Linked DNA regions of Oryctolagus cuniculus. The protein of the gene in region 1 purifies or fractionates together with the protein of each later gene. This does not show direct contact. Links are inferred from orthologs where the notes say so. Each region holds a gene or a part of one and is shown on either strand. Other genes may lie near its edges.

Evidence for each region.
Region 2: the proteins of THEMIS (region 1) and PTPN11 purify together in Homo sapiens (co-immunoprecipitation; 3 studies listed by BioGRID and IntAct, counting the BioPlex papers as one, with this or other methods). This does not show direct contact. The link is inferred for Oryctolagus cuniculus from reciprocal best matches to the Homo sapiens genes THEMIS and PTPN11.

The regions. Positions count from the first base shown.
Region 1 is NC_091436.1:41,531,507-41,539,784, reverse strand, and holds the start of THEMIS (protein THEMIS), read right to left. Parts: upstream 5,012-8,278; 5' UTR 4,807-5,011; coding exon 4,716-4,806; intron 1-4,715.
Region 2 is NC_091452.1:9,791,367-9,798,851, forward strand, and holds part of PTPN11 (tyrosine-protein phosphatase non-receptor type 11), read left to right. Parts: intron 1-1,778; coding exon 1,779-1,910; intron 1,911-3,236; coding exon 3,237-3,403; intron 3,404-4,721; coding exon 4,722-4,789; intron 4,790-5,255; coding exon 5,256-5,407; intron 5,408-7,485. UniProt on the Homo sapiens protein: Acts downstream of various receptor and cytoplasmic protein tyrosine kinases to participate in the signal transduction from the cell surface to the nucleus. Positively regulates MAPK signal transduction pathway. Dephosphorylates GAB1, ARHGAP35 and EGFR.

The DNA of each region.
Region 1 (8,278 bases):
ATCCCTGTGCCCATTATCTCTATAGGAGAAAAAAAGGAAATATTGGCTTCATTCTCAAATCTGTACAAAAACCAAAATAAATAAACTCCAGGTGGATTGCAGATCCGAAGGTGAAAGTAAATAATGGAATTTCTAGAAGATAATACAAAGTATTTTCATTAACTTAGAATAAAGAAATGTTCTTGACAGTACACTGAATGTAAAATAATTAAAAAATGATAATACTAACACTAAAATTAAGAACTTCCATCTATCAAAAGACACCATTAAGAAAATGAAATTTCAAGAAACAAACTGAATGACATTTGCAAATCACATAACAGACAGTGTGCCAAATAGTACATGTAAATTTTACCAAAATAAAACTAAAACTAAAACTGTGATGCAGCACTAAACTCTCACTAGAATGACTGTAAGTAAGCCTGGTGACATCAAGTGTTAGTTGGCAAATGGATTAACTGGAAGTGTCAGATTCTCACAGTGGGAATGTAAATCTGACTACTTAGAAAACTTGTTTTTCATTACCTAGCAAGTCTGAACATACACATACACTATGACATAGAAACTCCACTTGTTTTTATACCTAGCTGAGTTCGTGTAATTGTGAGTACACATGAATAAGAATTTCATGATAACGTGGAAATATTTGGAAATAATCCAAATGCTCAAATGGAATAGAGTGGATAAATAAATTGTGATAATATTTCTAAAAAGGAACATTATATGTACTGAAAATTAATGAACTATATACAGCAGTATAGACTATTTTTATAGATATAATGACAAACATTTTAATCAGGACAGAACACCTACCATGATTTTCCATTTATATAAAATTCATAATGAACCAAAATCATGATAGTGAATAACTTGGGGGAACAATCAAAGATGATAATTGCAAAAGGGCACAAGTCAGGGCTTCTAGAACACTTGTAATTCTCTATTTCTTCATCAAGGTATCGATTACATGAATTTGCTTGCTTTGTGAAAATTCATCTTAATTGAAGTGTAACATAATATATTAATAAAGTATGAAGATGTTCTGAAAACATGGAGAGACATACTATGTTCTTTTGTAAGACCATATAAAAATGTCAGTTCTACCCAAATTTATTTAGAAAATCAACCCAAGCAAATAAGAATTCCTGCTGAATTTTTTTACTAATCAGTAATGTTTTTGAAAATATGCTTAATCCTCCCCCTGTGGCACCTGCATCCCATATGGGCACCGGTTCTAGTCCCAGCTGTTCCTCTTCCAATTCAGCTCTCTGCTGTGGCCTGGGAAAGCAGTAGAAGATGGCCCAAGTCCTTGGGACCCTGCACCCAAATGGGAGATCAGGAAGAAGCTCCTGGCTCCTGGCTTCAGATTGGCCGACCATTGCGGCCAACTGGGGAGTGAACCAATGGATGGAAGACTTTCTCTCTTCTCTCCCTGTCACTGTCTGTAACTCTACCTCTCAAATAAATAAATAAAATCTTAAAAAAAAAAAGCTAAATCAACTTAGAAAAAAATAGTGAAAACAAGGGAAACAAAGGAATGGTCCATATAATGATCATATCACTTATTCCACCATTTAAAGAAATAGTGAGATTTTGGGCACAATTATGAAATAAAAGACTAATGTAATTTCAGAGACAGATTGACACAGATGGGAACATTTAATAAGAGTTATAGGTAGCAACACAAGTCAGTAAGGGAAAGATGGCCAGCTAAATCAATGGTGCTTGGATATCAGGTTAATCACGTAGAGAAAAGTAAAATTGGGTCCCTGTAAACCTCAGGGCAAAGTACTGTCCAATTGAACCAAATTCTAAATGCAAACTACGAAACCATAGAGTTGTTGTAAACTAATGTAATAAAAAGCCTTTGTTCAACAGAGACATAAAAAACGCTCAGGATCACTAGTCATCAGGGAAATGCAAATTAAAACCACAATGAGGTTTCACCTCACCCCAGTTAGAATGGCTCTTATATAGAAATCAACAAACAACAAATGCTGGTGAGGATGTGGGGGAATAGGTACCCTAATCCACTGTTGGTGGGAATGCAAAGTGGTGCAGCCACTGTGGAAGACAGTATGGAGTTATCTCAGAAATCTGAATATAAACCTACCATACGACCCAGCTACCCCACTCCTGAGAATGTATCCAAACTAAAAGAAATCAGATATGAAAGAGTGATCTATATCCCCATGTTTATTGCAGCTCATTCACAATAGCTAAGATACACAATCAACCCAGATACACAATCAATCCTGATGTCCATTATCTAAAGACTAGATAAAGAAATTATGGTATATATACACTATGAAATACTACTCAGCCATAAAAAGGAATGAAATCCTGTTTTTTTGGTAACAAAATGGATGAAACTAGAAACCATTTTACTTAGTGAAATAAGCCAGTCCCCAAAAGACAAAAACCATATATTCTCTCTGATCTGTGGTAACTAATAGAGTACCTAAAAGGTAATGTACAAGAGTGAAATTGACACTTCAAGATGCCATGATTTTAAACAGCCTTGTCTTGACTGTTGAGGAAAAGTGTTTTTTTTTTTTTTTCCTGAATACTATTTGTTGAATTCTTGATGTAGGATTAATCTTATGAGTGTAAAGTTAACTGAAGATAGATCTTTGCAAAAATATAAAAATGAGAATAGGAGAGAGAGATGCAAGAAGGGTGGGAGTGCAGGTGAGAGGAAGGGTAGGGAGGGAGGAATTACTATGTTCTTAAATTTGTACATATGAAATGCATGAAATTTGTATTCCCTAAATAAAAATTTTTAAAGCCTTTGTAACCTAGGCATGAAGAAAGACTTTTGACACAAAGCCTCCAATGCACAAAGCATGAGTTAAGAAAAGATTTGGAGCTGCTTTAGAAACAGAGACACTTATAATACAGTATTGGGACAAAATTCGATCTGATTTTAAATAATCAATTTACAATTGAATTAAACAAATTCCTATACTGAGTTGTAATAGCCTGTGTCAATCCACTGCCTGCAGGGCATATGAAGTTGAAGCAGGGTGTGGGGAGAGTAATGTAAGGATTGTTCGTGCCTATGCATACGACCCAAAGATGACATGTCCATCCTTCTTTTATTTCATCATTTAATAGACACACTTTGACTCATAATTGGATTATATCTGGATAAGCTGATTGTTATATTGAAAACACAGTTACATCAAAAATGTACTTAATACATCCAATATAACATCATAGCTAAGCTTTCCCCACCCTAAATGTGCTCAGAATTTTGAACTGCCTACAGTGATATAAAATTATTGAACACAAAATTTACTTTATAATAAAATGTTAAAATCTCAGGTTATTGAATGTTATATTGAGAGTGTAAAAACAGAACAGTTGTATGAGTATGCTTTTGTACCATTGTGCAGGAAAATCAAGTCAAGCCTTGTAAGTTGAACCATGTTGATTAAGAGAATGTGTGTACATTCTTCTATCAATGAACAGGAAAATAAAAATAATGCTTTATTTTCCAAGATTAGACCTGAAACTCTTGCTTCAATTTCTTATGACTAGAAAGCTATATAAGGAAGTTTCCAAATATTCATGGCAAAGTGAAATTAAAATAATGTGCATTTTCTGTTAATTTTTGAAACCCTCTTATGTTTATCTAGAAAACGAATCATTGTTTTGCATAGCTAAAACTAACCTCATAAACACTCTCAAAAATTATTTGGATATTTTAATAATTATGTGAATTAACATACTGTAGTAAGTTACACCAAAACTCAGTCGTTTTTTATTCCATAATTATCAGTGGACTCTGATTTTCAGCAAAGATTTTGAAAAATAACCTTGTGATTCATAGAGATTAATTTCTATACCTTCAAATAAAAATTATCATTATTTAAGGAATTAAGAGTTAGGCCACTACAGAAAGCGAGAAAGAAATGTTGATACCAGCAATAGAAGTACTTAAGAGTTTGAAGAACATTTACTTCTACACTCTGTGCTTTTATTTCTCTTTCAATTATAAATGTGAGAAGTTTATTTCTCATAGTTCTGGAAGTTAGGAAGCCCAAGATCAAGGAGCCATACCTAGTGAGGGCTTTCTTGCTGTGGCATAAAATGGTGGAAGGGCAGCAAACATTTGAGGCAGAGCGCGGGCAAGAACTGTCACTCAAGAGAAACTTTTAAAACTAAGACTTGAGGATAAGCAATCCACTCCCATGATAATAACATTAATCTGTTCATTAGGGCAGGGTCCTTGTGACCCAAGTCCTCGTGACCTAATCATCTCTTTAAAAAATCTCACTTAAGTGCGTGTGAGAAAAGAATATATTATTATGTAGAGAATATACTTCAATGAAGACATATTTTAAAATATCTACATATCAAATAATACGGTATCCATGCATTTTTATGTGTTACAAACATAATTATTGATAACTTTAAACTTTTCACTATGGGTTACAGTGAATTTCAAAGAAAGCTCAACCTTGATTTGCCATCATGTGAAAACCACTGAAAGCCTACAAAAAGTTTAAGATGTGCTCAATCCCTTCTCCCTTCCCACCTGGAGTCCTCTCTAGGGTCTCCCTTCTCTAACACTTTTGAGCCTTGACCATTCATCAGTTAATTACCTTTTCCCTTTCTGCTATGGAACTCATACTCTTTACCAGAATTCCCCCCACAAATTCCCACTTAGAAGTACTTTCTAGCCAGGCAAGGAATTAGAGAGTGCTTACCTTCAAAATAGATGCCTGACTGGATTTCTAGGACTCTGGGGAGGGTCCTGAGATCAAGGGAGTGGATGAATTCTTCCAGAGATAAGGCCATCGCTCTGCCTTGGGTTGGTGCGGACCTGGACTTGAAGAAATCTACAGCTTCGGGGTGTCACTTGCCTGCAGCGTCAGCCCTTGCTCATCATTCCTCCCCCAGGCATGCAGGGAACATCACACCAGAGCCTGTGGGTTCTAAGTGGGGACAGTAGGAAAGAGGGAGGAGACAGGAGACCGTGTTACAGCTCTTTTGTTCTTATTGTGGCTTCCTATCCTCCTGACACCCAAGTAGAACAGGATGGGGGTGGGGTAAATGCGTTGAACAGACACTGCCAAAAAAGCATGAGAACAGTTACTAGCCGCTGTGTTGCTGTCCAGGTGTGTATCTATAGCAATGGCAAACCCACGTTTGGAGTTGCTTATGGCTTATCCATCAGAAAAGAACAGGAAAGTAGTACCGAAATCTAAACTTAAAAACGGCACCACATTAATTCATTATTTCTCTAGCTCATTTGTAAAGTGTGGCTTTGGGCCTTATTTGCATACTGTCAGTGGTTTTATATTAAATTTGGTTGTGAAAGTGCTTTGTGTCAGCTCTTTTCAGAAATCTGATACTCTGGAGAGAGTACTGAAACCATTTTTAATTCTTCCGCATTAGAATTTTGCTGAATCTTAAAGGAAGGTTGGGGGCAGGGCAGGGGATACAATGAGCAAAGTGATATACTACATTAAAATTGTAAGGCAATATGAATTTTAGAATCTCCACATTATAGTGGAAAGTGCTCCAGTCACTTGTTAGAAAACCTGTTTCCTGGATTTAGCTCTACTTTTGATTTATAGACTGACTTGGTCCTTGCCTTCTCTGATCCTCATTTGCCTCATTCACTACCTGTAGAAAAAGTACAAGGAGTCAAATGAATTGTGTAACTAATTCCAAGTCCAAAATTAAATAATTCTGATCCTATAGCCCAAATTTAGGGAGAAAAAAATGCCCAACTTCAAAGGCAGAGAGGAAACCTCATGAAAACCAATCTCTTAAAAATTCTCCCGACTTGGGGCTGGTGTTATTGTATGCTCAGTTAAGCTGCCACTCACATCGCTGGCATCCCATATCAGAGCACCCATTCAAGTCCTGGTTACTCCACTTATAATCCAGCTTCCTGCTAATGTCCTTTGGAAGGCAAAGATGGCCCAGTCACCCTTGTATGAGATCCAGATGGAGTTCCTGGCTTCTGGTTTTGGCTTGGCCCAGAGTTTATAGTTGTAGCCATTTGTGGAGTAAACTAGCAGACACAAACTTCTCTCTCTCTCTCTCTCTATCTCTCTCTCTCTTTCTCTCAATCTGTCACTCTGCCTTTCAATAAATAAATAAATCTTTAAAAAATTATCTCCCTCTATGTTCTCTGTGTCTAACTAAAAGAAACAGTATGTTAGAGCTACAGTGCACAATTCAAAATGATATTTTCTGTTTTTAAGGAAAATTGATTGGTATAGATACAGCGGAAAGGTGCCAGGAAGCTGCATGTTCTCCTTATAAATTAGACTCCAGACTACCTATTTGGTGTAGCCCTAGACTGCAGAATAAATAGGTAAAGAGAGTCAGGGTCATCCCAGCTTGGTCATATTCTGCATGGAGGTGACTAGGAATAAAAATATAGCCTTGTTTTTATAAAGTGCTTATAAAACTCTTTCAATTCTTTATAATAATATTTTACATTTATAATATTCTGCTAGAATTTATTTCTTTCTTATCAAAACTAGAATTTATGCCCGGTTACATCAACAGATTTTCCCACAATAACTCTACTTGCAACATTTTTTGTATCAAAATCTCCCAAACCTGGGAAGTCCACTCCCCAAGCTTAGGTTCTTCAATCAACTACAAAAGTTACTTATAGTTGGCCGGCGCCACGACTCACTAGGCTAATCCTCCACCTGGCGGCGCCGGCACACCAGGTTCTAGTCCCGGTCAGGGCGCCGGATTCTGTCCCGGTTGCCCCTCTTCCAGGCCAGCTCTCTGCTGTGGCCCGGGAATACAGTGGAGGATGGCCCAAGTACTTGGGCCCTGCACCCATGGGAGACCAGGATAAGTACCTGGCTCCTGCCATCGGATCAGCACGGTGCGCCGGCCGCAGCACGCCGGCCGCGGCAGCCATTAGAGGGTGAACCAACGGCCAAAAAAAGGAAGACCTTTCTCTCTGTCTCTCTCTCTCACTGTCCACTCTGCCTGTCCAAAAAAAAAAAAAAAAAAAAAAAAAAAGTTACTTATAGCCTAACAGCATATTTCACATAGTAGATTATATGACAAGGACTGCTGCAGGCTGCTACTTAGACATCATATGTCCAGGGTCTGGCTCTGTGGTATAACGGGTAAAGCCACCACCTGCAGCACAGGCATCCTATATGGGCACCAGTTGGAGTTCCAGCTGCTCCTCTTCCGATTCAGCTCTCTGGTATGGCTTGGGAAAGTGTGTGGGCTCCTGCACCAGCATGGGAGCCCCGAAAGAAGCTCCTGGCTCCTTGCCCTGGGCTTCGATTCGGCACAGTTCCAGCCTTTGCGGCCAGTTGAGGAGTGAATCAGAAGTTGGAAGACCTCTCTCTCTCTGCCTCTCCTTCTCTCTGTAACTCTGACTTTCAAATAAAAATAAATAAATCTTTAAAAAGAAATCATATGTCCAGAGGCTGGAGTTCTGGCACAGCAGATTAAGCCATCACCTGGGATGCCGGCATCCTATTTGAGTACCAGTTCAATTTCCACTGCTCTACTTTTCATCCAGCTCCATGCTGATGTACCTGGGAAGGCAACAAAAGATGGCCCAAGTATTTATGTCCCTGCTATCTACTTGGGAGACCTAGAAGTAGTTACAGGCTCCTGGCTTCGGCCCATCCCAGCCCTGGCCACTGCAGCCATTTGGGAAATGAACCAATAGATGGAAGATCTCTTCCTCTCTCCCTCTTTCTCTGACCCTGCCTTTCAAATAAATAAAATATTTATTTAAAAGTCAAACATCCATTAGATACAGCAAATTCTAGTTAATATCTAGTCCATGCTGATTTCACTATTCTTTTAAATTCCAGGTGAATTTTTATCCTGTTAGGCAAAGCATCCATTTCACAAAATCAACAGTCTCTTACAATTTCCCATGCTACCCCTGATCTATTCTAACATGTGGTCCTCCCTCTCTGTTATAGCCTGCTTCTCTTGTTAGCCCAGTCTTAGTTAAAAACAATACCATTAACATTGTTACCCAAGCCAGGAGGCTTAGCTTCATATCAGGTGCTGTCTTTCCTCCACCATCCAAAGACCTCAAAGCCCTCTAGATGGAAATTCTCAACTGCACTCACTCTGTCCTTGATCTGAGTCCCCACTGCCACTACTTTAGTCCTGATCATGATCAATTCTGACACTACAGGTAAAGAAATCTTGCTATGAAAAGCCATGAAAAAAGTAAGAAACAATGTTGAAGAGACACTTGAACAACCAGGTAGTAAAATGAATTATTAAAACTTCAATCATTAAAATATCAGAT
Region 2 (7,485 bases), on another chromosome or scaffold:
CAGCAGCTGGGGCTGGGCCAGGGCTGAAGCTGGGAGCGGGGACTCAATCCACATCCCCAGGTGGGTGGGGTGGCAGGAACCCAGTTATCTGAGCCGTCCCCACTGCCTCCTAGAGGGTACATTAACGGGGAGCTGGAGTCAGGAGCTGCTGTGGGGAACTGAACCCAGGAATCCTGGTAGGGAAATGAGTCAGCCACGGGGCTCCATGCTTGTCCTCATAGCTGGGACTTTCTTCCTGATCTGCAAGATCCATTTCTCTTGCTGATATTTGTGCCTTGATGGCTTTAGGAAGTTTGTGGAATGGGCGACTGTCCCCAGAGAAAAACAAAACATAAAACCTTTCCCTGCCCGGAACCCATCAGCAGATAGATGCACACACACCTCCCATTGAGCAAAACGGCTCCCTTTTTGGCAGCGGAAACGGTTTCCTTGGTGCCGCGCTTTTCAGCTCGCCTGCTCCTGAAGCCAGCAGCGACCGCGGGCTGGGCACTCAGTTCAGGGGAAGTGACGCGCATAGTAGGTATCAGATGGGTCTGGGGATAGAAGAAGCAGTTGGGTCAAAGCCCCGTAGGCTGCCTTTCCGTGACAGAGCTGTTCACACTTGGGTGAGAGAAGGCCTCGAGTCCTCCTACACAGGTGCGGAAATGAACCAGACGGTCTGGCTCGGTGGGCAGCTCAGCCGCCTCCACATCCTTGTTTGCCTTGCCCTCAGAGTGACTGGCAGATCTCTAGGACTCCAGACTCCGTGGTGCTAGACAGCAACAAACTGGAGCCCCTCCCTCTCTGGGGCTTGTTCCCTTAGAGATGAGCAAGCGTGGACTCGCCTTTGACCGTGACTTGATGGGCAGCTCCGGGAGAGCCCGGTTCTCGTCCCACTTCTCTAAGCACCTGCTTTTCTTTCTTTTCTTTTCTTTTTCTTTCTTTCTTTCTTTTTTTTTTCTTTTCCTTTTTTTTTTTTTTTTTTTTTTTTTTTTTTTTTTTGACAGGCAGAGTGGACAGTGAGAGAGACAGAGAAAAAGGTCTTCCTTTACTGTTGGTTCACCCTCCAATGGCTGCTGTGGCCGGTGCACTGCGCTGATCCGAAACCAGGAGCCAGGTGCTTCTTCTGGTCTCCCATGGGGTGCAGGGCCCAAGCACTTGGGCCATCCTCCACTGCACTCCCGGGCCACAGCAGAGAGCTAGCCTGGAAGAGGGGCAACCGGGACAGAATCCAGCGCCCTGACCAGGACTAGAACCTGGGGTGCTGGTGCCACAGGCGGAGGATTAGCCTATTGAGCTGTGGCGCCGGCCCAGCACCTGCTTTTCTTCTTTGAGCCCTTCCTTCCTTATATTTTTATCTATTTATTTTCATTTTGTTTCAAAGGCAGAGAGAGTAAGAGAGAGTGAGTGTGTGTGTGTGAGGGAGAGAAGTCCTCCATCCCCATTTGACGCCACAAATGCCTGCAACAGTCAAGGCTGGGTCATGCTAAAGCCAGGAACCCGGAACTCAAGTCCGGGTCTCTCACATGGGTGGCAGAGCCCAAGGACTTGAGCTGTAATCTACTGCCTCCCAGCATCAGCCTTCTTGTGTTAGCAGGAAGCTGAATTTCCAGGAAGCAGAGTAGCCAGGGCTGGCACCCAGCTCTGACAGGGGCTGCGCTTGTCCCAGGTCGTGAGTTAACTGTTGAGCCACACGAAGAAGCCAGACGTGCCATTTCCCTGTTAGACTGTTTGCTGCCAGCCTAGGCTTTTGTTGGGAGCTCACGGAGGTTAACTGTCTTTTCTCTGGTCCCTTCCAGAGTAAATGTGTCAAATACTGGCCCGATGAGTATGCTCTAAAAGAATACGGTGTCATGCGTGTTAGGAACGTCAAAGAAAGTGCCGCTCATGACTATACCTTAAGAGAACTTAAACTTTCGAAGGTCGGACAAGTAAGTATATTGTCGTATTTTAGAGGCCGGGGCTCGTGGTGTGCAGTGGTCCAGGGTCCTGCAGCTACGCTTGTGTGCGTGCACTCCTGCCTGGCTTCACACATTGATTAAGTAGCCGTTGTTGGGATACCTTCTGTGTGCCAAGCACAGTCAGGCACTCCTGGTGCATGTGAACGAGACAGGCATGGCTGTGCCCTCCCAGTGCCTGGGGAGAAAGGACATTTAGAGTAAATTGAGCTCCCTGAGTTCAGTCTGTAGGGGCCCAGGGTGGTTGGTGTGTTCCTGAGTGACTGGGGCCTTGAGATGGAGTCCGTGGGGCAGGTCTCTCTCAGAGCTGATGTTCCAGGGTGGCCCCTAAACCAGGCAGCTCCACTGTCAGGGAGTGAGAGACCTGCCCCCAGAGTGGCTGCATGTCCACGCCCTGCACCTTGGAAAACGGTCAACAAGGTCTCTGCCCTAATTCTTCCTTCCTGGGCAGGGTGGAGCTTATGTGATGTTGCATGGCAGTGCTTTAGAGAAAATATAAAATTCTGTACAAAATAGAAACCACATTACCAGGATTCAGGAGAAACCAGCAGTCTTCCATCAGCACCTGCACCCAGGGTGCCAAACTCCTGGGCCAGTGTGCTACTGCAAAGGAGCTACGCGGGGAGGTGGCGGGGGGTGTGGGGGGTGTCCTGACAGCTACTCAGAAACCCGTGGTGATGAGAAGATGGGGCATTTGTCAACAGAACCGAAGATAAGCGTCTCCGGCACCTCGGTCTCTCATTTCTGCTTGGCAGCTACCTTTGTAATTGTCGCTTGCCTTGGGTTGTCCCCAGATATGCAGGGACTGGGTAGCCATGACTAGTGCCACTGCAGTGACCTGGGCTGGGCTGAGCACAGACATAATCCCCCTTGTCTCCTGCAGTCTCGGGGCCTTCGCTGTCTCTGTTTGCGATCCCTGTCCTCAGATCAGCCCTCGGGTGCTGGCCAGTGGCAGTGTGCCGCTGAGCTGTCCGTCCCCACAGTGGTATAGAGAGGCGGCGAGAGAGAGGTGATTCTTCACATTTTGCACATGGAGACATTGAGGCTCAGAGCTGCCCAAGGGCTGGAGTGAGTGTGAATATCTGGGGTTTGAGCCTAAACCTCCCCACCCGACTCCCAAAGTCTGTCTGCTTGGCTTCTTGGCACGGGAGCGCCCTGGAGACTCAAGTGGGCCTTTAGGTGGCGACTGAGCGCCGCTGGGCCCGCCAGCACCGGTGACTTCCGTAGCAGGTGGGAAAGCTCAGAACCGGGCGGCTCCTCCACCCCTTGATTTATTTAATTCGGTTCTGGTTTTTCTTGGCTCTACTCCAGGGGAATACGGAGAGAACGGTCTGGCAATACCACTTTCGGACCTGGCCGGACCACGGCGTGCCCAGCGACCCCGGGGGCGTGCTGGACTTCCTGGAGGAGGTCCACCACAAGCAGGAGAGCATCATGGACGCCGGCCCGGTCGTGGTTCACTGCAGGTGACAGCCCCTGCCCCTCCTGCCGCAGCCTGTGCCTGCCCCCCAGGGCTGCTTTCACCGGCCATCCCTGGCAGTTTACCTGTGCTTAAGGCCTGAACAGGCTGCAGTAGGGATGCTCGCTTCCTACAGACCCTGCAGGACTGCGGGGTCGGGCTGGTGGGCGGGCTGGACACAGCCCTTGTTCTCACCGACGCCCCGTCTAGTGCTTCTGACTACGTTTTCTTTTGAAATCCAGTAATTTAGGGTCCATCTCTTTGTGATTCTGTTCTCTTCCGCTGAGGAAGTAAGAGATGAAGGGTGTTCACCGAGTTAGTGGAAAATGCATGTTCTAAAATGCTGTGTGTAGATTTCACAATTTTTCTTTGCACCCAAGGAAACTTATCTTTTAGCTCCACTTCCCACAAACTTTTTGATGTCCCCTCACGTATTTTCCCCGACCCTGTCCTTGTGCTTATTTGCTTCAAAAGATTCCAACTGCTTCGTGCCGAGGCCTTTGATGGAAGCCGAGCCCTGCACCAGAATGTGCTGGCTGCTGGTATCCAAGTCTGCGCTTCGTGATTGTACTTGGGGAAGTCTGATTTCCTAATCTCATTTGTGTGTTGGACAAGTAGATGTGTGAGAGGACTTACTTGTTCTGTTTTTTAAAAAACTGCCATTTATTGTCCTAACCTCTGAATTAAGTGCTTTTCCTACATTATTATTTTTTAAAAAAAATTATTTATTTGAGAGGCAGAGTTACAGAGTAGCAGAGGCGGAGAGAGAGAGATCTTGCATCTGCTGGTTCACTCCCCAAATGGTTGCAAGGGCGGGAGTTGCGCTGATCTGAAGCCAGGAGCCAGGAACTTCTTCCTCGTCTCCCACATGGGTGCAGGGGCCCAAGGACTTGGACCATCTTCCAGGCCACAGCAGAGAGCTGGATTGGAAGTGGAGCAGCCGGGACTCGAACTGGCACCCATATGGGATGCCGGCACTGCAGGCTCAGTGCTACCTGCTACGCCACAGCGCCGGCCCCCCTCCATTATTATGTCTTATCCTCACCGTAGTCTGTGAAGCATTGCTGTTGTCCCCATTGCACAGGAGGGGACACTGCAGGGCTTGCCTCAGGCACACGGTACTGGAGAAGTTGGGCTTTAAGCCCTGGTTGGCTGATGGCAAAGCTCTGTGTTCGTTGCTAATATATCTTCAGATATAAACATACTATGTTATAAGTACTCCCAAGAGCAGATATTGTTTCTGTTAATATTAATAGCTTGGTTTTTGGGTATAAAACTCCCGTGAGTGATTCCACTCTCCCTGCGTCTTGTCCTTCTGCCCACAGTGCTGGAATCGGCCGGACAGGGACGTTTATTGTGATTGATATCCTTATTGACATCATCAGAGAAAAAGGTAGGTCTCCCGGAGGGCCAGAAGCTGCAGCTCCGGCTGTTAGTTCCTGGAAGGAAGGCGCTGGGGAAGGGAATTCGAATGTGAAAGCGTCTCACGGAAACGGGCTGGCACTTCTGCTTTCAGTTCACGTGAGAACGGAAGTTGTGCTGTGTGAGCTTTTGGCCTCAGATGCAGCCCAGGAGCTGAGGACCCTACTGCCACGGCCTTTGTCGTGAAGGCAGTGGTGGGTTCCTACCCAGCTCCCGAGTGCTGGCTTACAGGACTGGAAAGGGGAGTCGGAATCCTGGTGTCTGACACGTTGCCGTCTTCCTGGGTCGCTGGGGTTGGGCCACAGCCCAGGGGAACGTGCTCAGCTCGCACCTTAGCGAATCTGCCTCCTCTCGCATCTGCTAAGAGCTGGATGTGGACGAGCTTCTCGCTGACCCTGCAGTCTCCTAATGCTTCGTGGTGGTTGGTTGCTTTGCAGGTGTTGACTGTGACATTGACGTGCCCAAGACCATTCAGATGGTGCGGTCTCAGAGGTCAGGGATGGTGCAGACAGAGGCGCAGTACCGCTTTATCTACATGGCTGTCCAGCATTACATTGAAACACTACAGCGCAGGATCGAGGAGGAGCAGGTACAAGCCAGGAGGGGCTGGCGTGCAGGTTTTCACATCCTCTCCGGGCAGCCTGGGGGTGCTTTCCTCCTGAGCGGGGCCCCAGGCTCTGATAGGCACCTGTGCTTATTTGGGGGTGGAAACAAGTACCCACCTAGAAGGGCTTCCTGGAAGCAGTAGTTAGTTGCCACTCTGTTTGGTACAGAGGCACCCAGGGAGGGGCCCGCCAGGTGGAGCAGCTGCCGTGCCATGCCTGCGATTTTCCCAGGCTCACGTGGCAAGCTCAGCCCTCAAAGCCTTGGTGTTTCCAACCTGTTCCAGCTTTGATCCAGGCCATGTTTATTCTGATTCCATCTTCTAAAATGAATGCCTCACTCTTAATAGCGCACAGTGGTTTGAACTACTAATTTGGTCTAGTTGGAAACAGTGAAATTTCAGTTTTAATAAGCTGTGCATAATGAAGAAGGATGCGGAATTGGCACCTTTCCATTTGAAGCTTTTCATAACAGACACAAAACTGTGTTAATGAGGAACCTGCTGAAACGAGAGGAGGGAGGAGAGGACTGCTCCTTTGGGGAGCTGTGCCCGCCCCCTCTCCGAGCCCCCTCAGCCCTGTTGCTGTGCTGCAGATGGGGAGACGTCTAAACATCAGTGCCATTTGCCTGCTCCTCTCTGTTTAGTGCCTTCCAGAAAACTGTGTCTCAAACAGGGACCCGCCACCTACTTGAAATATCCAGTGGGATAGCAGCCACGCTGTCAATGTTGGCTTAGCCAGCGTAAGGCACCTGTGAATGAGTGTAGTGAATTCTCAGTCCACAGGGAGACACTGGATTGTTTAATTGTACAGAAGCAGCATATATAGAGAGGTCTGGGGCCAAATAATTAACAAGATCCCAGTTGTCATTTTATTTTTATTTCTTTTCTTTATTTGCATTTTATTTGAAAAACAGAAGGATAGAAAGAGACACAGAGACAGAGCTCTTCTATCCACTGGTTCACTCCCCAAACGCCCTCAACAGCTGGGTTTTCGCCAGACTGAGACCAGGAGGCTGGGGCCCCGTCTGAGTCTTGCGCGTGGGCAGCAGGGACCCAGGGACTGGAGTCATGCCCTGCTGCCCTGCAGGGTGTGCGTTGAGCAGGCTGATGCGGGCCGTGAACATGTTCCAAATGGTGCCTCCACAGCAGCGTCAAACGTCGCCCCAAGCTTGCGATGAGATACTCAGATGGCATCTGTCAGTTACGTGACACGTGCCTTCCAGTTGCTGAGGCCAGCCATAGTTTAAGGAGAAAGTTACGAAAGACTGTTAATCAGAGAATGTAGCACAGCCGCTACGTGTTGAAAACCATTCCGAAGGGTCTTGAAGCACACATTTAACCTTGCTCAGAAAAGTAGGGCTAAAGTGTAAGGACTCATTTCTTTTAGAAACTTAGAAGACTCTAGAAGATTTTTATTCTTGTTAGGAGGATTGAGGGTCTTCTTATTACCATAGGTTCTCCCTGACCCTAAAGCTAAAGTTTTGAGTTGGATTTAGGAACTAGTTTAAAAAAAAAAAAATCTTCATTGCTACCTTTTTCTTGGAAGGGTTGTGGCTGGTAGAGGTCAAAAGCAAAACATAGTCCTTAGTACTTTAAAAACATTTTTTATTTATTTATTTTCATTTTATTTGAGGCAGAGAGAGACAAAAAGAGTAAGAGAGATCGTCCATCCTGTGGTTCATTCTTAAATGCCTTTCACAGTCAGGGCTGGGCAAGGCTGAAGCCAAGAGTCTGGAACTCAGTCTCTGCCAGATGGTGGCAGGAACCCGAGCACTGGGGCCGTCCTCTGCTGCCTCCCTGGCTCACATTAGCAGGGAGCTGGATGGGAAGTGGAGTAGCTGGGACTTGAGCTAGGCGCGCTGACATGGCGTGTGGGCGTCCCAAGCAGCAGCTTAGTTGCTGCACCCTTAATAATTCAGGTGTTACAGAATATGGAATGGGCAAAGTAACAGTCCCAGTAATCCTGCCTCTAAAGTGCTTGCAGTCATCATGCAGCCAGTGCTTTTTGGGTGTTGATATTGTTGGTGCTAGGTTAATAAGCATATTAACTACTGTTTTTACAT